3 linked regions of the Drosophila melanogaster genome follow. The protein of the gene in region 3 interacts with the protein of the main gene of each other region in a pairwise test. Each region holds a gene or a part of one and is shown on either strand. Other genes may lie near its edges.

Region 1 (7,949 bases), on a different chromosome or scaffold from region 3:
GCAATATCAGGCTTTATATACTAATAAACTTAACTTTTTTTTTTTTTAGTGGCTGACAGCTATGGGTATACTGAGGGGTATAAGATGAAGAAGTAATAGTACAAGGAATAGTCCAAAACTAACCCCCCAAATCCGCACAATCCTCCCTTCCCCCTTTCGATTCGTATTTTAGTCACTTAAGTTGGGTCATTTGTGATATTGCAAATATTGTCGTACGTTAAGTAATAGTCTCTTTGCCCTTTAAATGTAAGGTTAAGAAAATTATTCACAATAATTAAAATGATCACGATACAAGCTCATGAGCTAGGCATTAAAGTGGATACCATATATACTATATATTTTGTATAATTGTTATTGAACTAATAAAGATGAAAAAAATGTTGTTAAAATTCAAAACAAACGTTGTGAGCTGTAATGAAATAAAAATAGTTATGTGCAATCTTACCCACTTAACCTACTAAAATGATAATTTCCTTTGTAGTTGAAGATTTTATTTGACACGAAAGCCATGGGTCAAGAAATCATTTTAATACAAAACATATCTAATAACTAAGGAATGTAAAAAGAGTATTCGTTAGCTAAGCGAAGTCCACCAGACGTTTCGACTTCGAAGGCTATCTAATCTTTGGCATAGGCACGGGAATGCTTGCAATTTTCAGTTGGGTGTTTTAGAGTGTCACTAAACTATGAGCTACGACTAAAGCACTAGGACGGCTTAACTATCTAAATGGCGTGAATGTGGCGGTTCTGTTCAATCCTGCTTATTGTCGCTGATGGCTGTGGATGCAGTGGCCACACTTTCACCCGTCTGGGATTTAATAATGGTTGGCTTACGGCCTTTTTCGAGGAGCGGAGAACTGTCCGGAGATCCTTTGACACTCTTTTCGCACACCAAAGTGGAGGCCTTGGACTTCAGTTCCTCAGCACTGGAGAATTGAGAGCGACTCTTATACTGGCCATTCGTTTTGGTTTTGGTCCTCAGATCGTATCTACGATTTCGACAGGAAGCCAATAGAATCTGAACCGGAGTCCAGCAGAGTAGAGTTATGCCTACGATCAAGCAAATTCCGGCGAATATATGTCCGGAGAGCATGACAATGGGCAGCACCTTCAGTTGATCTGCCATATCTGGAGTGATTCTTACTTTCTGTTCGAACCATACGAGTGGGAAAAATATCCTTGGTATTCCAGTGTATAAGCTAATGCCTTGGATTGGCTCCACGAGCATATTCACTTGAAATCGGGCAGCCACCTCCAGGGGAATACCAGTACTTGGCTGCACAACCATATAAAACTCGTGATCCTTCTGGTTAGGACTCAAGCCCTCTACCTGATCTGGGTAGTAAGGATCGGCGTTGAAAAAGTGTGGATAGGACATAAAAACAGGAGATCCAAAGCGACAGGAACTGATGTTCATCACACCCGACGGAACACATTGGCCACCACAAAAACAAAGGTTCTCAGGATACTGGGTGCCTGAAATATAAATCTCTAATAGAATGGGTACTCACAATTAATCAATTCTTATCAAGACTCACCATTATCTACAGATCGTGGTCCGCCTGAGAATTTATAACCTTCCAGTCCTTCAATATCCACAGTTTCCACATAATCCAGCGGAATAGTTCGGCACATATCGGGCGTAAATAGACCAACACTATCGCCGGGCTTCAGATGCTGTGGCTGGAACTCCCCGGCGGATCCATTGGTCATACCGCAATAGGAATCAAAGAATCCAGTGTTCTCCTGGTAATTCCACGAGTGCATCTGACCCAGTTTGGCCAGTTGATCGGCGCCAGTGAAGACATTAAAAACTCCGGTAAGATCGGCACTTCCATTGCGCGTATAGAACCAACCGAACTTATCGAATGGAACCTTCACCTCATCACCAAAAATGGGCATGGCCATGGCCACGTCGATCATTGCGTCATTGTAACCGGTGAAGAGCAGCTCATCGATCGATTTTTGGACAGACATCTCGGCACCGTACATCTTTAGTCCCACATCGACAAGGGAGCGCTTAACTGGTGGCCAATATTTGGCTGTGGCGGCTGCAGACTGAAATGGAAATGTATAGTTATAGTTATATTATGTAATAAAAGGGAATAGGATACTTACCAGAGCCACTGCATTAAGCGTGGTAATCTCATCGTCCAGGCTGCCATTACTGCCCGCCGCATCAAAGTAGAACAAGCTGCGCCTGCGATAAGTGACGGATGCATTTTCTGGATGCCAGTGAATGTCCACCTTATCGGGTCGCTCGATAAAACGATAAGGACCCACCTGCTCCAGAATGGGCTTTGTGGAAAGGTTGCCGAAATCCTCCGGATTCGTCCAGTTGTACAGGTAGATGTCCAGACTGAGATCAATTGGCGGACTCTTCCAATTTTCATAGACACGTGTGTCGGGGGCCAGAGCCATTTCCTGTCGAAGAACAGAAGCCGCAATTGGTATTAATTGAAAATCTCAACGAGTTTTCCTCGATCTTTGACTCGCGCCAATTGAGAGGCGGCTGTTTTTCTTTTGACTTTCAATTGGCTTTAGCCACTAATCGAATGCAGCTGGCCGGGCTAACACTGGAGTGAAGTGAAATGAACTTAACTGAACCTCTGTCAATGACTGGGATTACCTTGTGCATGATCCAATCGAACAGGTCCACCCAGAACATGCCGCACAATATGCCAAATAGTCCCAGGCAAAAGCCGAAAATGCCGATAATTAATTTGCGATTACTTTTTTGGCCCCACATTGCGCTGTTTTGTGTTGGCATGGCTCACGCTGGGCGATGGTGTGTGGATACCTAATGGTGGCTGTAATGATATGCAAGTCATTGAAACATCAATGAAAATGGATAAATTGATAGTCTATTTGCCAACATATAAAAATGGATCAAATGAAAGAACTCATAAATGTAGTGCAAGTTGAGAATGTACTGATAAGTTTTCTATTATAAAATCATTATGAACAAATCATAATACAATAATTTAAAATATAACTTTACACAATATTATTTTGTGAACTCATGTTCATGTTGCCTACTTTCAGGCAGTGCTAGTTAAAGAATAAAAAAAATGTAGAATCAAATCTCTTATTAACAGATGCATCAAGTCACATATTAATATAAGTATGGCGAACAAAGAAATCAACAAAGAATTGAATACAAATAAAATGCAAAAAGCGCAGCATTTTATTGAGTGACGAATTCCCATAGCGTCTATTTTTATCAATATAATTGAATCAATTTAAGCAAAGCGTGACTTTCAATTGCTGTTTACACTCATGTAGAATATACTAAGTCCGGTAAGTATATGTGTACATATATACAGAACTATAGTCGAATCCCCTATCAGTGGTGATAATTACAAAGCTTCCCCCGACACTCAACGATGATGTGTTTTAATTAGTTATGATAGTTTGAAGCTGCATTGCAAGCAATACGTGTAATTATCCATTTCGTTTACGAATAACATGCATGAATGTGGATAAAATATTTTATGATCGCATTCGGTAGGCGAATTTTCCTATATGGGGCATTCACTGTGGTCCGATAAGCGGATTCTGAACTCTTAGGTAAACAGACCCATGAGGAAGCCACAGACAATTGAGGAAATTGAACTGCACTGCACTTATCGCTTATCGGGAATCCATCCTCTGGCAATTATTTGACCAATCTGCCCAGAGTTCCCATCACCAAACACTATGTATCACTTGAGCATAAATATTGCATATGTACGTACATATGCCACAGGTTCGCATCTCTGTGATATATCGTCATAATTGAGTCTATCAATTGACCCCGCAGTGAGCTATGGTTGGGTCTTTGACACTTTGCGTTATTGCACATGAATACGAGTAGGAATCTATATATATATATACACATATATACATATATATATGCTTATTTGGGAGCGTGTCAGTTGTGTTCTGGTTGGTGTCTGGTAAATTGATATGATTATGTCTTTTGAATGATGAATAGCTGTCGAGCATTTGTCGGCGCCTTTTTATTGTCTTCACAATTAATCTGAAGTGAGTTTTAATTGAAATGGACGTTGGACAGGTGCATCACGTAGAGTTCATCCCGCATTTTTCGCTTAATTCAATTAGATCAAGAGCAATACCGCACATAACGAGGATAGATTTTGAATGGAAATCTAAGAGATTTTAGCAGGAATATCTCTTTTTGTGAGAAAATATTTATAGCAAGATACGTTTTTTTTTCAGTGCAGTTCTTTGATATTCGCTCTTGAAGCTCGAAGCCGCAACACTGAATAATTGCGTTTAATTAAGCTTAAATTTTAGTGACCGGTATATTTGATTCATTATTAAATTAGGCATGCTCTTGTCATACTCTCTGGTTCTTGATCTTCTATATTAACATTTTTATGAATGCTCCGAACGCTTTATTCATATTCTATGCAAATGCACCGAGAACACTGAACTCTGAAGTGATGCCACATCGAAAGTGAATGCATTCTGAAACATTCTAGCAAGAATTATCTGCCTTTTTGGCGTTAACTTCCTGAGTGCAAGTGCACTTGATATGAAACGGAAATTCTAAGTACTAAGTCAGACGCAGTAAACCCGATACTTTAAGATCGTCTACTGGATGTGAGACAAGTCAACACCTTCTCAGTTTTTCCTGATGTTTTTCAACCCCATTTAACCACAAAGGCTGCCATTGAGATAAACCGCAACTTACAGATTTGACGCAGTTCGCAAATTCACATATGCTTGGGCGAGTATTTTTTGATAACGAGCTATCGGCATGTAATTGAGTTTTCGCAGCCTTCAAGTACGAAAATACACACGACGATTTAAAAAAAAGCCAACAACTATAAATAAAGAGCGAAAGGCTAAACCGTAAATAGGCTTGGTACTTTTAAAGGTCCCTGAACTGCAGAAAGTTATTTTGTTTCTTTTTAATGAACTTTAAATCAAAAAATTTCTTTAAATGCCACTTTTACGTAGCCAAGATTTCAGTATTAACTAAAGTTGTTTAAGCCCTTTGAGATTTTAATTAATTCATTGTGAATTGATTAATTGATTTGACTTTAATTGTCCAGCATGAGTTGAATTCTTAAACGAAACTTTAATGAACATGCTATTAGGGGCTAGTTTCGATTATCTTGAACTATATTTAAACGGGTCCCATGAGTAATTTGCCAACGAACAGCTGTATTTATTGAGGATTCGCCAATCTGGGCATTGATTATTCAATTAGCGAATAGCTGGAAAATGAATGTGAAGTTTCTTTGGCTCTTTATTGCATACAATAAAGAAAATTTAAATAAATATTTTAATTTGCAATTTTTAAGACATTCGTTGGTTTTCTATTAGAGTATTTACATTATTTGTTTTTCAGATATTTATTATCTTATAAAGGCACACGCAACTGCAATTAGTTGGGAGCAAGTTGATATTTAATTATCTTGAACTTTAAATGGTTAACAGGTCGCATACGCAATGTGTTTTGTACACCACTGTTTTGTTTTTTATTTATATACCAAATAAGATCAGCTGCCGTTCTTTTGCAGAAAATTCCAAAACATATACTAGATTTTTTTATTTTTTCATTATAATTTATCATCGCCCAATTTCGTTTTATGTAAAAATACAAGCTACAAAACATAATTCGTCAACGGGGCGCATGCTTAATATTTTCCTGAGCAGCTGTTTTCCCTGGGACTAATTTTAGACCATTAATCGCACAATCAACAGGTCGCCTCGTAGTCCAAGCTGGAAGCCCTTTGTTTTGCATTCCGGCACTCTTATTTCTTCAAAAGGGAGACGACACACAAAGCCAGTATAAACACAAAAAGAATGTATAATATAGATTGCCACTGTACATACATATATATTTGGTTTTCTGTCTGGCGACTATTTTTCATTCTTGTCGAGTTAATTTCATTTAATGACCTGTAATCTTAATAAGTCTGCCGGCGATTAAGCCAAATCAAGCCAAAACGTAATGTGTTAACAAAGCAGGAAGCGCTAAGAAATTACGTGATATTGCGAAAGGAGTTTTCTTTTGTCTTTCCAAATTTCCTTTATTTTCTTTTAAAGGCACTCACTTGACTTTTATTTGCTAAATAGAAACAAATCACAGGCTCCTCGGTTTTTTTTTTACGTTTTGATTTTCCTTGCGAGGAAATTGAAATTCGATAAGGATGTGGACAGAACGCTTGAGCACGTGGATGATTTCTTTGCACAGAGGCCGGAAAAGTGGACACGAGTCCCTGGGAAATGCCGTAAAATGGTACCGCTTCGCCCGGCGGCTTCGATGCGACTGTGCGGCGGACTCTCAGCGAACGGACCGCGAGCAGAGCGGAGCGGTCTCGGCGGCCGATGAATGTCAGTCAAGTGCGGCACATGGAAATGGAAATGTATATGGAATTGGGCTTGAGAAGAGCTCCGAGTATCCGAGCAACGGTGTGTATGTGTGTGTGCGAGTGGGTGTTTGGGTTAATTTGCGCTTTGGGCTTTTCATAGTTGTGCCATTGAATTTTGAATTAAACAATATACAATCTGAAACGCGAGTACGACTTTAAAACTGTAGAATGCATCCAAGGGAAGAAGTAGTCAGAAACAACAGTGTCACCATCTTTATATAAATTTTTGGAAATAATCTAAATTGAACCATTTGCTTTGTTAAATACGTTTACAAATATTTTAGTTTCTTATATATATATTTTTTAAATATTTACATCTAATAAATATCAAATGATATAAAAATGAAATGAATGAACTGAAAGAGTCAACATATTTTCTATTGTTCAGTCGAATAGCAAATATAACTGGGTCACATTTCAAAAAATCACAATCAGCGAAAGAAATTCCTATGCACTTAGATTTCATAAAACTGCGAATTTTCGCATACGAATCGGGTGGCTTGTGGAAAAGTAAACAAATCGTAAAGTAGAAATCCGAATTGATAACAAATTGTCGAAGCCTTATCAATGCGGCTAATCGTGATGATTAGCACTGGGTGAACAGCGAACATTCACGACTAACCCCACACACTTGTAAGCTGCGAAAATCGACAAGCGATCAGAGCAAAGTTTCAACTGTTTTTTTGTTTTATTTCGCTATCATAGGGGCACAACTCCCCAGCAAATGGCATAGAAAACACCCATGGATTGCAGTCTGAGGCAATAAAACAATAAAATGTCATTGCTTCAGTGCGTATTCAGGCTGGCTTCCTTATTGGATTAGTCTTTTGCCTCCTTTCACATGGCGTGCTAACTGGGATTAGCTATCAGTTGTGGCCAAAAGTCAGTTACCGCTGCAGATTATGTTGCAATGTTGTGAAGTGGAGCAAGCAGAAGTGGGTCAAGCCAGCCCTTAGCTTCGAAATGGGTCTCGGCCAGCATTATCCATTTGAATTCATTAGTGAAATTCAAGCAGCTCATGTCAGCCAGCAACACAGTCAGTGACGTAGCAACCAGCTTGTTGTTGTCGATTGGCTTACGTTACGTGAATACGTAACGTACTGATTAAGTGCAATTGAAATGTTTACTTGCTTTAAATATTATATCATAACTTAAAAAATACGGATAAAAAATGTAATTTACTGCGAGCTGGAAAACTTTAATTTATTTTTCATCTGTACGTTAGGACACTTTATGTTTAAATTTAATTGATTAATGTGTATATATAATTTTAATCAATCGCCGAGATGAATGGAATGTAAATTATTTGTTGAATTGGAGCTGGTGTCGTCCATGTGATGTGTGAATCGAAACTGAATTAGGATAATGAGGTAGCACGTGGCAGCACCAGTAATCTGCAAAAATTAACCACTTAAATAAATAAAATATTTAATTATTTTCAACATTAGTTCACCGTAAAAATCAGTGTGCGATCCAGACGAAAAAGTCCTGCGGCTGTGAAAAGGACCTTCCGATGCGACAGCTGCAAGGACAGACGGAAAAGTCGATCTCTGAGTTCTG
Region 2 (4,960 bases), on a different chromosome or scaffold from region 3:
CGTTTAATTGCCAGCCATTGGCCAATGCTGAAGTTAGATATGCATGCATCCATTTTAGACCCGGGGAATCTAAACAAATTAGTGGCATTTCCTCATTTGCATTTCATTTATGCAGATGCTGATGCCGAACTGAAGACTTTTCGCAATGTCCACGGGACCGCGAACAAAGAGCCTAATTGAAGGTAATTTAAATTGATTAAACACGTCTATAGGCTGGGCCCCACCGTTAACTGTTCACTGTTCAGTGGATCGTGGTCGCTGTCTGTTTTTAGCGGAGGTGTTTGTTTGCTGCAGTTTTTTGGCTGCTCAATGATTTGGCATTGTCTTGGAAAAAAAAATGAAAAATGAAGCGAAACAATCGATGTCGTGTGGGTCGTTTGCCAGTTGTGATGGGTGGGTCACCACCACGATGTGTGGGGTGCTGCATTATTTTAAGTATAGTAGCATGTTTTAAGGTGTTTATGGTTCAATTATGGCTGGCGATGATGAAAAACTATAGGACTGAAAAATGGCAAACTTAGAAAACATTCACAATAAATGTATGCTCCTAACCAAGAGCCTGCTGAGCTCATCATCGACCTTGAGACCAGCTTTGATTCCATATTTTCTATGAATCACATTTGAACATCCTGTTCAAACCCGAAAAGTTAATGGCAACTATAAATAATAGGATGCGAAATGCAAACGAATTGCAAACGACCTGGCAAAGTTCATTGGAAACATTAGCTAGAAAATGATTTATAAAGAATTTTATTTATGCCTCAGCCATACAAGGCACAGCTAATAATTATGAAAACAAAATGCTTTGTTTTTTAAATTATGTGTTTTTTGGATTTATTTTAAAAATAACAATAGAAATATATTTCGTTCGAAAGAGTCAAAAATATCATTAATGATTATTGAGAATACAAAGCGAAATTCCACAAAAGATGAATTTTGGACCGCGTACACCATTAAACCTTTTTCGGTCAAAAAGGGTGTGTAAATCAAGGTGTCAGTTGCAATTTTGGCATACCAAATGCGACAATAAACGTGAGGAGCTACACTAATTTGCAATCCATTCAATTGTGAATCGGCTGGAGTAATCGTTTTTTATTTTCTATAAACCATGGATAGCTTAAGCTTGATTAAAAAGTCTCTCGCTGTGGTGTTGAAATGGTCTTAATGTCAACTTCGGCTGCCATGAGCAACTCAAGTTCTAACTTTGACATTCAGCTCGACCGATAAAACGAGCAACAGGCGCGTGCCCATAAAAATACATATAAAATACCATGTAGAGGTAAAGAAATCGAGTATTATCGCAGTTTTTTGACGAAGTAATGCAATATGCCATAAGCTGCGAGTCCCACACCCAGTTTTCCGTTTCAATATCTTTCTGAGGTGACAATTGGGGCCAACACCTTTTGAGCCCAATGGTAATTTGCACTAATGCACGCCACAAGTTCCTAATGCGACAATTGTAGTCCCCGAAATCACTGGATATAGTCATAAATATAACTAAGTTTCGGTCCACATGAAAAGAAACCGTAGTATTGAATAACTTGTATAAATAAATGTGTAAAAAATAAAAAAAAAAACCAGACAACTATCCCGATATGGCTTGAGTGGGATACTCCGATCTGGTCTGGACATTCTGATGACTAATGGGCGATCTGGGAACTCATGCCCAGCACTAGAATCATTGAACCCTAATTGTTCAAAAATATATTAATGATTCATGATATATGGATAGGGTGATTTGGTTTCCCAATGATCGCTGATGAGTTGGGTGGAGGTGGTAGTAAGATAAATTGGCAAGCTTCGGAGTAAACAAAATATCATGGCAAGCCAAATAATTAACTGAGAAAAATAACTTTATAAATCAGACAAAGGAAAGTATAAGAATGTTCTCTTCTATTGTTGGATGCTTTAAAATGGAGCAGGGCGAAATGACTTCGGAAATCATTATTATAATTATGGGAATGGTTTTCGAGCATAAAAGAGAATGTATTTCTTTCATTTGCAATGTTTTTTAGGTTTGAATAAGAAATAAATGGACAGCAATTCGAAGCAATATGCTCTAGTCAATGACCTTAGCTAAAATATGACTATTTATTATAGTACTGTGTAAATGTGTTTATTTGTTTTAATTTATCATCGAGCTAAATCAAGCTATTGATATGTCATGTTTATGGTGAATATCTAAATTTTACACAATTTTCTGACTGTTATATATTGCATCATCAGCTATAGTTATTTTCTCATTAGCTGTTTGATTTTCTAGCAGCAATTTATCATAGGTACTAGCTCCTCTCACCGAAAATTCAAAAATAATATGCATGTGAGTTTTAATGCCTAGCAAGTCTAGCAAAGTATACATGACAATTTATGGCTATGGGTTCAATTGAAATAAATCAAAATGAGACGAATTGCACGTACCTGTCCGTTTGATATCTTTTTTTTCAGCGTGAAGTCCACTGAAGGCGTTTTAGCTTATATTTTATTTGGCTTTATTTCATTATATTCTGGTCCGATGCAAACAGCAACAACAAATGCACTGGCGATTGGCATCAATGTCGCTTGGCCGCTTTTTTCCTTTTTTTCTCCGTGCTCCGTTGATTGTATTCACCAATACTCACATACGCACGGGCACACACCACACACACACAAAGGCACACGGACAAGGGGCTCAATGAATCAATCGACTTAATAAAAAAAAAAAACGCGTGGTATACGCGATTTTTTTTGTTTTTGTATTTTTAATAATTTTTGTCAGCTCTCGATGAATACGAAAAACGCATAGTCAGCCAGCCAGGCATTGGACAAAAATTATTGAAAATGCTTGTTTTCTGGCAAAAAAGTTTCAATGATCAGTGGGCGATTGTCTGAGTGCAACAGCTGTTTGCTTTCAGGGGAATAAATGGTAACCGGAGGCTTCTAATCTCGATGCACCTGACGGAGCATCTGAAAAGACAACTCGAGTAGCCACAACCTTTCCCTTTCTCGGACTTTTCCTTTTCCTTTTCTGTCTCTGATCTTTCACTTTCTTTGCAATTGTTTTCGGGACTCGGGCTGCTCAGTCTTTGAGACGAACTTTGTGATCTCTGGGGGTCTTGAATTTGCCCGTTTTGCATTTCACACTCAACGCTTGGCTTCACTCGAAGTCACAACATTCAAGCACTGTTTAATGTTTACTCGTGTTTTGTTTCTAGATTATTTGTATACTTTTGTTTTCGGCACAGAAAAGTGTGTGTGTGTGTGTTCATAAAGTGTCTGCTGGCACACACAGCTATATACACATTAATATTTGCTTTATAACGAACTCGTTTTGAGGCTTCGAAGCTTCCCAGAAACCGAACCGTCTGTCTTGCACGCCAACGCTGTACTAAAAGAGTTTCGCGCTCGCACCGCGCATTAAATACCCGACAAACCGACAATCTGGCTATAGTTTTTCAACTTGGCCAGGTCCGGAGGAGACTGGGCCTCTCGATGATGTCAGCCTCGTTGGGAGCGGCTCTCTGTTGGAAAGAGATTTGCTAGGCCCGATACAAAGATACAAAAAGAGAACCTGGTCAAAGCCGCTCTTTGGCTTAGTTCCACTTTTTTCGCAGGGGGATAAATGTATTTATTATGGCTTACAATAACCATACCTACACACTCTGCTTAACTCATTGTGGTTAATGGTGATTTATTGTCTCAATCTCGAAAAGGAGCTGAACAATGAAAGTTAATAACAATTGAATGATATCTATAAGTTAAACGTTAGCAAATGATATCATATCTTATCGCAACTGCACCTTGTTTTGTCAAGTCAAAAGGTAACCTTGAAAACACCCAGTGCTTGTAATGTAAATTTTTACTTAAATTTTTATTTTTTATAATTTAAGTTTCTTTGCGAGCTGTGACAACCCTACTCACCGCTCTCTTACCAACTCACTCTTTTCACCCGGCTTTTGCTTGTCAGACAACCGGCGTTTTTAACGTAACGTAAAGGCTGCTTACGTTACGTAACGAGTGTGCCATTGAACCAGACTTTATGGGTCTTGCACCAAAATTGGACTTTATTATAAATATTTTTACGATGCTTGTGACTCGGGCTAATTAAACATTTATTGTTTTCAGCCTCAAGGTGTCATTGGGTCCGATTGGGTGAGCAAATGAAGCCATTAATTGGAACAGCACACTTTCGATATGCGAACATATCTCAATGCTGAACGTGGGATGAGCCCAATGCAGTCTAGACTGATTACTACCCTACCTACAGCACTCATGCAACACGCACCAGCCGGTTAATCATGATCGGCTTGGGAATCGGAGATCGGGGGGTTTGAGACTATATGTATCTATCTACGCGTACATATGCATGTCAAGTTCAGACGCAAGTAAGGTTTCGCCACGCACTGGGGCATGAAGATCGAATGCTCGGCTCGGAGATCGGTTCTCCTTCGTTTGGAAAACCCTTTAAGTGGGTGGCCATGTATACGTTAGCCATAAAATCAAGTTGGATCGGCTACTGCTGGCAGCGGTTTGGGGTTTTAGCCATGGCTTTCGCTACACGCGCCACTTGACCCTTTCGGGGTCGTATAGTTCAAAAACGTGTCTTTGGCTGCCGCATTCGCAATGCAATTGAAATTGGATTTGGACTTGGAGTTGCACTTATTCAGATCCGCGAATTGGTTGCACTCGTTGGTTGGTCCGCTTGCTGGTAGCCTGGCCAACTGGTGTCACGCCGTTCTCTTCCTCCACTTCTTTCTGGAACAAATTTTTGAACAAATCGCATTTGAAAGTTATGGCACGAGTTGTGAGCTGTCGTCGTTGGGTCTACAAATTGCATTTGAAGGTGTTATTTTTGTCTGTGCCTGATACAGTTTTAGTGTTCCATTTTCGGCCCTCAATCATTTCTTTACATAGGGATTATACAATAGTAAATCTTAGCTGCTGAAAATGGGAAGTGTTACATGCCGCGAAATTTGGGCTTAAG
Region 3 (5,629 bases):
AAGGAAACCATGCGCCTGTTTCCTTCTGTTCCCGCCATGGGTAGGGAAACTACGCGGGAAACTGAGCTGAGCAACGGTCTCATCTTGCCAAAGGGCTCCCAGATTTTTGTCCATGTCTTCGACATCCATCGCAATCCCGAGTACTGGGATTCTCCCGAAGAGTTTCGCCCGGAGAGATTTCTGCCCGAAAACTCGCAGAATCGTCACACCTACGCATATATTCCATTCAGTGCTGGTCAGAGGAATTGCATAGGTATGTAATATTGCTTACTCTCATGGAATGATTGGATAAACATATCATTTTCTTTGTAGGTCAAAAATTTGCCATGCAGGAGATGAAAACCCTAATGGTGGCCCTACTGAAGCAGTTCCAAATTCTACCAGAAATCGATCCGAAAACTATTGTTTTTCAAACTGGACTAACACTGCGGACCAAGAACCAGATTCACGTGAAGCTCGTGAGAAGAAAATGAGGCAGCTTTAACGGAATGGAATTGTTCACGGAACTCTGTTAGTCATAAAGTGCACAGTGAACAATAGTTTCATCCAAAGACTCCTTTCTTCTTTCTCTTGGTGCAAAAATGTCCTGTGACTAGCTTATGGCCGATAATCGTTGGCATCTCGACAGCTGCCGCCCTATAAATCATTCATGCCCTGGCGGGTAGAAGCACTTCTCTTCTTCTTTTCCAGCAGCTATTACAATTCCAACTCCCATTTCCCACACAGTGGGAGCTCCCTGTCATTTCCTACCCCTCCTATTATTTTTGAGGCAGCCCAGGAAAAGTCAAGTAATCTCTGTCCTTTAGCTCACATATATGGGAATGCAAATGCATAATGCGCTGGCGACTTTTTGTCATTTGGTTTTCCTCCTCCTGCCGAGGCTACATCCCTTTCCCAACGACTCCTTTTTGCTTTAACTGCGATTTTGACAGTTCGTTACTCAGTTATACCATTTGCATGCATAATGCAGACTCAGCTTTGTTCTAAGCACATAAAATGTGGCAAAAAGACATGGGTGACCATGGGCTCGCAAAATGCACTGTGTGTGGTGCACTGAAATAAGTTCCATCTATCTTTGGCTTCCTATTTATTTTATGAAATATTTATATCATGTTTCGAAGGGATATTTTTAGTTAGCTTCTCTTTTATATGTGGCTTACTACTACTCTACTATTGAAAATAATTATCGTAAACGCATATTTTTTAGTGTGCGCCCAACTCGTTCCAACATCATCATCCATCCTGGGGACCCAGGATTTATGGGACAGCACATGGAAATGGGTGAAAGGCAGCTCTGGTTTTAGCTGCTACTCGGCTACTGCATATTTCATTAGTGCTCTGTGCGCTAGTGCTTCGTCGCCATAAGTCAACATTAAATGGATTCCATTTGTGAGTCATGTAAATTAAATTTCCCTCGCTTTCACATGTGTCAAGCGAACGTTTGGATCTCAGAAAATCTAAGAATCGGCACCCCTCTCACCTGACTGACTGCCAAACTGCGCACCAAAAGGCGAAATAAGAAGTCGCAATATCCGCCACAAAAGAAAAAAAAAGAAGATAAGTGCGACGCACTTTTGCCTGACTGAAGGACGAAACCCCAAAAGCTCAGCAGCTCAACAGCTGGTCCTGTCGATTTGCCAGGGGAAATTAGAAGGCAACCGACTGGAGGGATGGCGATGGCGATGGCGATGCCGATGGAGGCAGAGTGAATTAATTACTTTATGCGCATCTGCGTGTCGCTGTCGGGCACTTTACACTTCCCCTGTATCCTTTTTCCCACTTCCCTTGTCCCTTGTACCCCACATCCACCCATTCCCCCGTCCAAAGTCTTCCTTCCCTTTCGCAAAACTCACACATGACGCTATTAATTTCTATTACCAGCCTCGGACGGCCTGCCTGCCATACTTCATTACGGACTTTCGTGCAATTGCCGCTTGCCCGAGCTACCTTTCAGCTCCCCTTCCCCTAGTGCACTGAGAGAAATTATTGGTGACTGCCAGCGGAATTAAGTTTCGTTGAGATTTAGGAGCAAAGGTCTAACAATCAAAAGTATGCATTAAGTTTGCGCCTTATTAATGATTTCACATGTTCAAAATGTTCAGTAATCATAATTTATAATGTATAAATATACATATGTAATTGAAAATATATTTGATCAAAAATAACTAAATTTATCATTAAATTCTTACCTAATAAATTATCATAATACGCTCGAAATAAAGGTTAAATAATTATTTTACAAGGTGTGAAATACATAATGATTTTAAATATTTATGTGAATGCTATACGAAAATTTATTTCGATTTGTCATACATGACAATCATGTTTTTCTTTATTCTTACTGAAAAATAATGTTTGTGATTGCGTTTGAAAACTAACTTTAAAGACTTCATGATGTCTTGCTTTGAATGATTCATAATAAAAGCCATTATCCTTGCACCTTATAAGCATGTCTTTTATAATTTAATATGAAAAGCAACCTAAAAATTTGTTGCCAAATATTTTCCGCAGTGCCCCGTTTTCGCGATGCCCTTGCTTGTTTGTTGACTCTGATTGGGATTAAGGTTGCCCATGGGCTCTCGGCTCGCTTTGATTGCCTTTGTGCCGCAGATGCCGTGAAATATTTCATTTGCTGCCAGTTATTTGCTCTTGCGCTCTGTAGCTTCCCCTCCCGGTTACGAATTCATTTCTACTCCGGATTTATATCCTTTTTGTTCGAGCGTGTGTGATAATCGCTGGGAGCTGGAAGCTGTGAACTGTCCGATTTCCATGGATGCGTGGAAGGCCATTTAATAAAGTGACCGAGTTCGAGGCGGCCCGTCATAATTTATTTACGCTTTTCGTCCGTCCAGTGAGTGAAGGTCAAACGGAGGAGCCCACGTGTGTGCGGGGCAATTAGGACTCACCTGGCTCGGATGTGGTGCTGGTCTCGACGGGCTCCGTGTTGGCATTGCTTTTGTCCAGGACCAGCAGCAAAACGGTCAAGGATATTAGGGCCCAAAGCGGCTTATGGCGCATTCGCTGCCTGCTCCACATGTCCAAGGATCAGATTGCGATTGCCAGAGTTTCGGCGTTGTTTTGTTTTCGTTTGTTAAGCAACCCGATGAGTCCTTTCAAATAGCAACGAATTTAACACCACTGCACTTCACGAGTTGACTTCTTAATGGGCCAAAAATAGAAATCCACTTGGCCAACTCACACACACACACTGGCGTACCGCCAGCAGTAACCCACACTCGCGCCAAACTGTATGCAACGTGTGCGCGTGTATGTGTATGTGTGTGTGCTCTTTGGCTTTAAAGTTTCACTTTTACTTAGAGTCCTTTGCGGGGTTTTATCCTTTTCGAAGCTGGGCACCTATCCTCTCGAGCGACGACAATCGAATGCCACGAGTGCGGCGAGCGTCTCGCTTTTATACCTCTCGTTGGATTCTGCGCAGCTTCGGCTCTGCTTCGTTCGGCTGCAATCGGCTGCATTCGGCACTCGACGAAGGATCGCACTCGACGAAGCTCGCCAAAGGATGTGTCACGTGCATTTTGCCGGCAAATCGTGTGTTTTTGTTTTGGTTTGGCCCATGTTTTGCTTAGTCGCTGTTGCCATTGCCGTTGCTGTTGCTGTTTTTCGTCATCTCCGATTTTCCTCTCTCGCTGCTTTCGCTTTTCGCTGTGCCCGTGTGTCTGCGTGCGTGCCCTTGTAACTCTCACGTAGCTCTCCTTTTTCCCACTCCCCCCCGAACCAACCAAGGAACACCGCCCACCCACGTGGCCAATTCCCAGCTACAAATGAAGTTTTCCGCTTGCTTGCCACGTTGATTCGGTTACTTTCCAGTTTAAAACTAATTTAATTATACTTCCTTAGTTCAGGCAGATACTTTTTACTGGTGCAGCAGTGAATCAATCGCATAAAATCAATTACTATTTCCTAATTCACTAGGGGAAATCGTTGCTGAAAATGTTATTGGCTTAAAACTGCGATTTATATAGCCCGAAAACATGAGCACATAAGGTACAATAACTAGACGACTATAATTATTTAATTGAAATATTGTATGTAGGAGATAAATATGAGAATTACATTTTTGGATACATTGGCAATAACTGCTAAAGTTTAAATTTTATGATTTTTACTTGGCGGTAAGCTTAGCAACTAAATGCAATTTTTTTGTAGCTAATTATATGTTTATAAATTCAAAAGTGTGCTTCCGTGTTTACTACAAATTCAAAGTGGGTACATTCTATTGTGGCTAAGGAGTGCAGTGGAGCCAAGTGCTCGGCAAGGGACTCACCTTTGCTGCTCCTCAGCTGCCGCTGCCCTGAGAAGTATGCTATCAATTGTGCTGACGTCGCCTGTCTGCTGGCCATTCCTTTTGGTCCTGGCCAATAATCAAGCAGCAGTTGCGGTGATTTTGAGGCCTCTGCTCTGCGACCGAAGCCAAATGGCATTTGGCATTTGGCAACCAGGTTGCGGATGCCACTTGGCCACTAATTACGCAAATGAATGCTCCGACAGGACGCCCCTTGTTGTCCTCGCAAGATAAATGTCACTCATTGGAGGTTCAGGTTAGTCCTGGTCCTAAAGCGTAACCGTAACAATACCGTCTGGGTCGCTCTTGTCTGTCGCATTGAAATTTTGCTGAAATGCGAAATACCAAATGCGAATGCGAATGCGAAACGCGCTCAACTCCAGTCGAGTGGAAAATGAATGTTTGTGTGCTGCATTCTCCCCCTCAGCTGGCAATCCAATTGTGCAGCGGCATTATCTTTTGTGTATAGTTTCTGGCATGCCGTCCTAGTGGCCCGAAACTTTGGAATGCAATCAGGCTGAAAATTTATACGTTTAGCATGTTTATCCTGCCTCCTGGCAACGAGCGGCTTTACAGCAAAATTCAATTTGCTGCCCTGCAACCGCAGGCTGAAATTACATCTCTGGTATTCCAACTCAATTCGATGCCGACGGGCCGAAGGCTAATAACCAATGATTTCCTGGGTGCCAATGAAGTGCGTGCACCTGACATGGTCGCAGCTTTTCTAGATTAAAATGCCTGCATTTAGCAGATTAAATTATTTAATCAAGACAATTACTTACTGGCTGTGCGATGGGCAGATGCAACAAATACATGGCTTACCGAATCCTCATTTCGGTAGAATGAATAATACAATATGCATAGTAAGTCACGCAAAAGGAATATTTACTTTGGCCAGCTTGGTTGGCAGCTGATTTAATAACTACACATCCAATTGTTTTAAATGAAATAATCTCCTCTTCGTTTTAATGAAATTATTGCTTTAAATAAATTCCTTGTTGTTTTGAACATATGTCAAAATAATATATTCTTTAAGTTGTAATTCAGGTTTTAGATATTCAAATATACAATAAATATTCTGAGATTTCTTAACATCGATCTCTTCGATAATATGTTATGCTCCTTATTTTGCTCAGTGCACCAAGCGGAAAACAATCGCAAGTAAATCAACTGGTTCTTAATGCCATTTGCCAGATAGCGAGCCCAGGGATAAACAAGGACTCGCACCCGATGGCCAAATTCCAGGATCTTGTCTTGTCATGCAATTATCGAGTTTTAATGAATTTTCGCGCGCAGTCAGAGGCGAAATCCATTAAAGGACTCGCG

The links. The genes of interacting proteins can lie anywhere in the genome.
Region 1: the proteins of hig (region 3) and santa-maria interact in a two-hybrid assay, tested with the Drosophila melanogaster proteins (one large-scale study listed by BioGRID).
Region 2: the proteins of hig (region 3) and CG34398 interact in a two-hybrid assay, tested with the Drosophila melanogaster proteins (one large-scale study listed by BioGRID).

What each region holds. Positions count from the first base shown.
Region 1 is NT_033779.5:7,444,878-7,452,826, forward strand, and holds santa-maria (scavenger receptor acting in neural tissue and majority of rhodopsin is absent), read right to left. Parts: upstream 6,368-7,949; 5' UTR 6,072-6,367; exon of another isoform or gene 2,811-6,071; 5' UTR 2,771-2,810; coding exon 2,630-2,770; intron 2,425-2,629; coding exon 2,119-2,424; intron 2,059-2,118; coding exon 1,539-2,058; intron 1,477-1,538; coding exon 752-1,476; 3' UTR 478-751; downstream 1-477. Other genes in the region: CG5973 (uncharacterized protein), read left to right, coding at 50-96; Gr28a (gustatory receptor 28a), read right to left, coding at 7,664-7,783, 7,843-7,949.
Region 2 is NT_033779.5:8,897,193-8,902,152, reverse strand, and holds the start of CG34398 (uncharacterized protein), read right to left. Parts: upstream 3,368-4,960; 5' UTR 3,303-3,367; exon of another isoform or gene 2,419-3,302; intron 1-2,418.
Region 3 is NT_033778.4:9,243,859-9,249,487, forward strand, and holds the start of hig (hikaru genki), read right to left. Parts: upstream 3,392-5,629; 5' UTR 3,037-3,391; coding exon 2,907-3,036; intron 553-2,906; exon of another isoform or gene 474-552; coding exon of another isoform or gene 313-473; intron 254-312; coding exon of another isoform or gene 1-253. Other genes in the region: Cyp4p3 (cytochrome P450 4p3), read left to right, coding at 1-253, 313-473.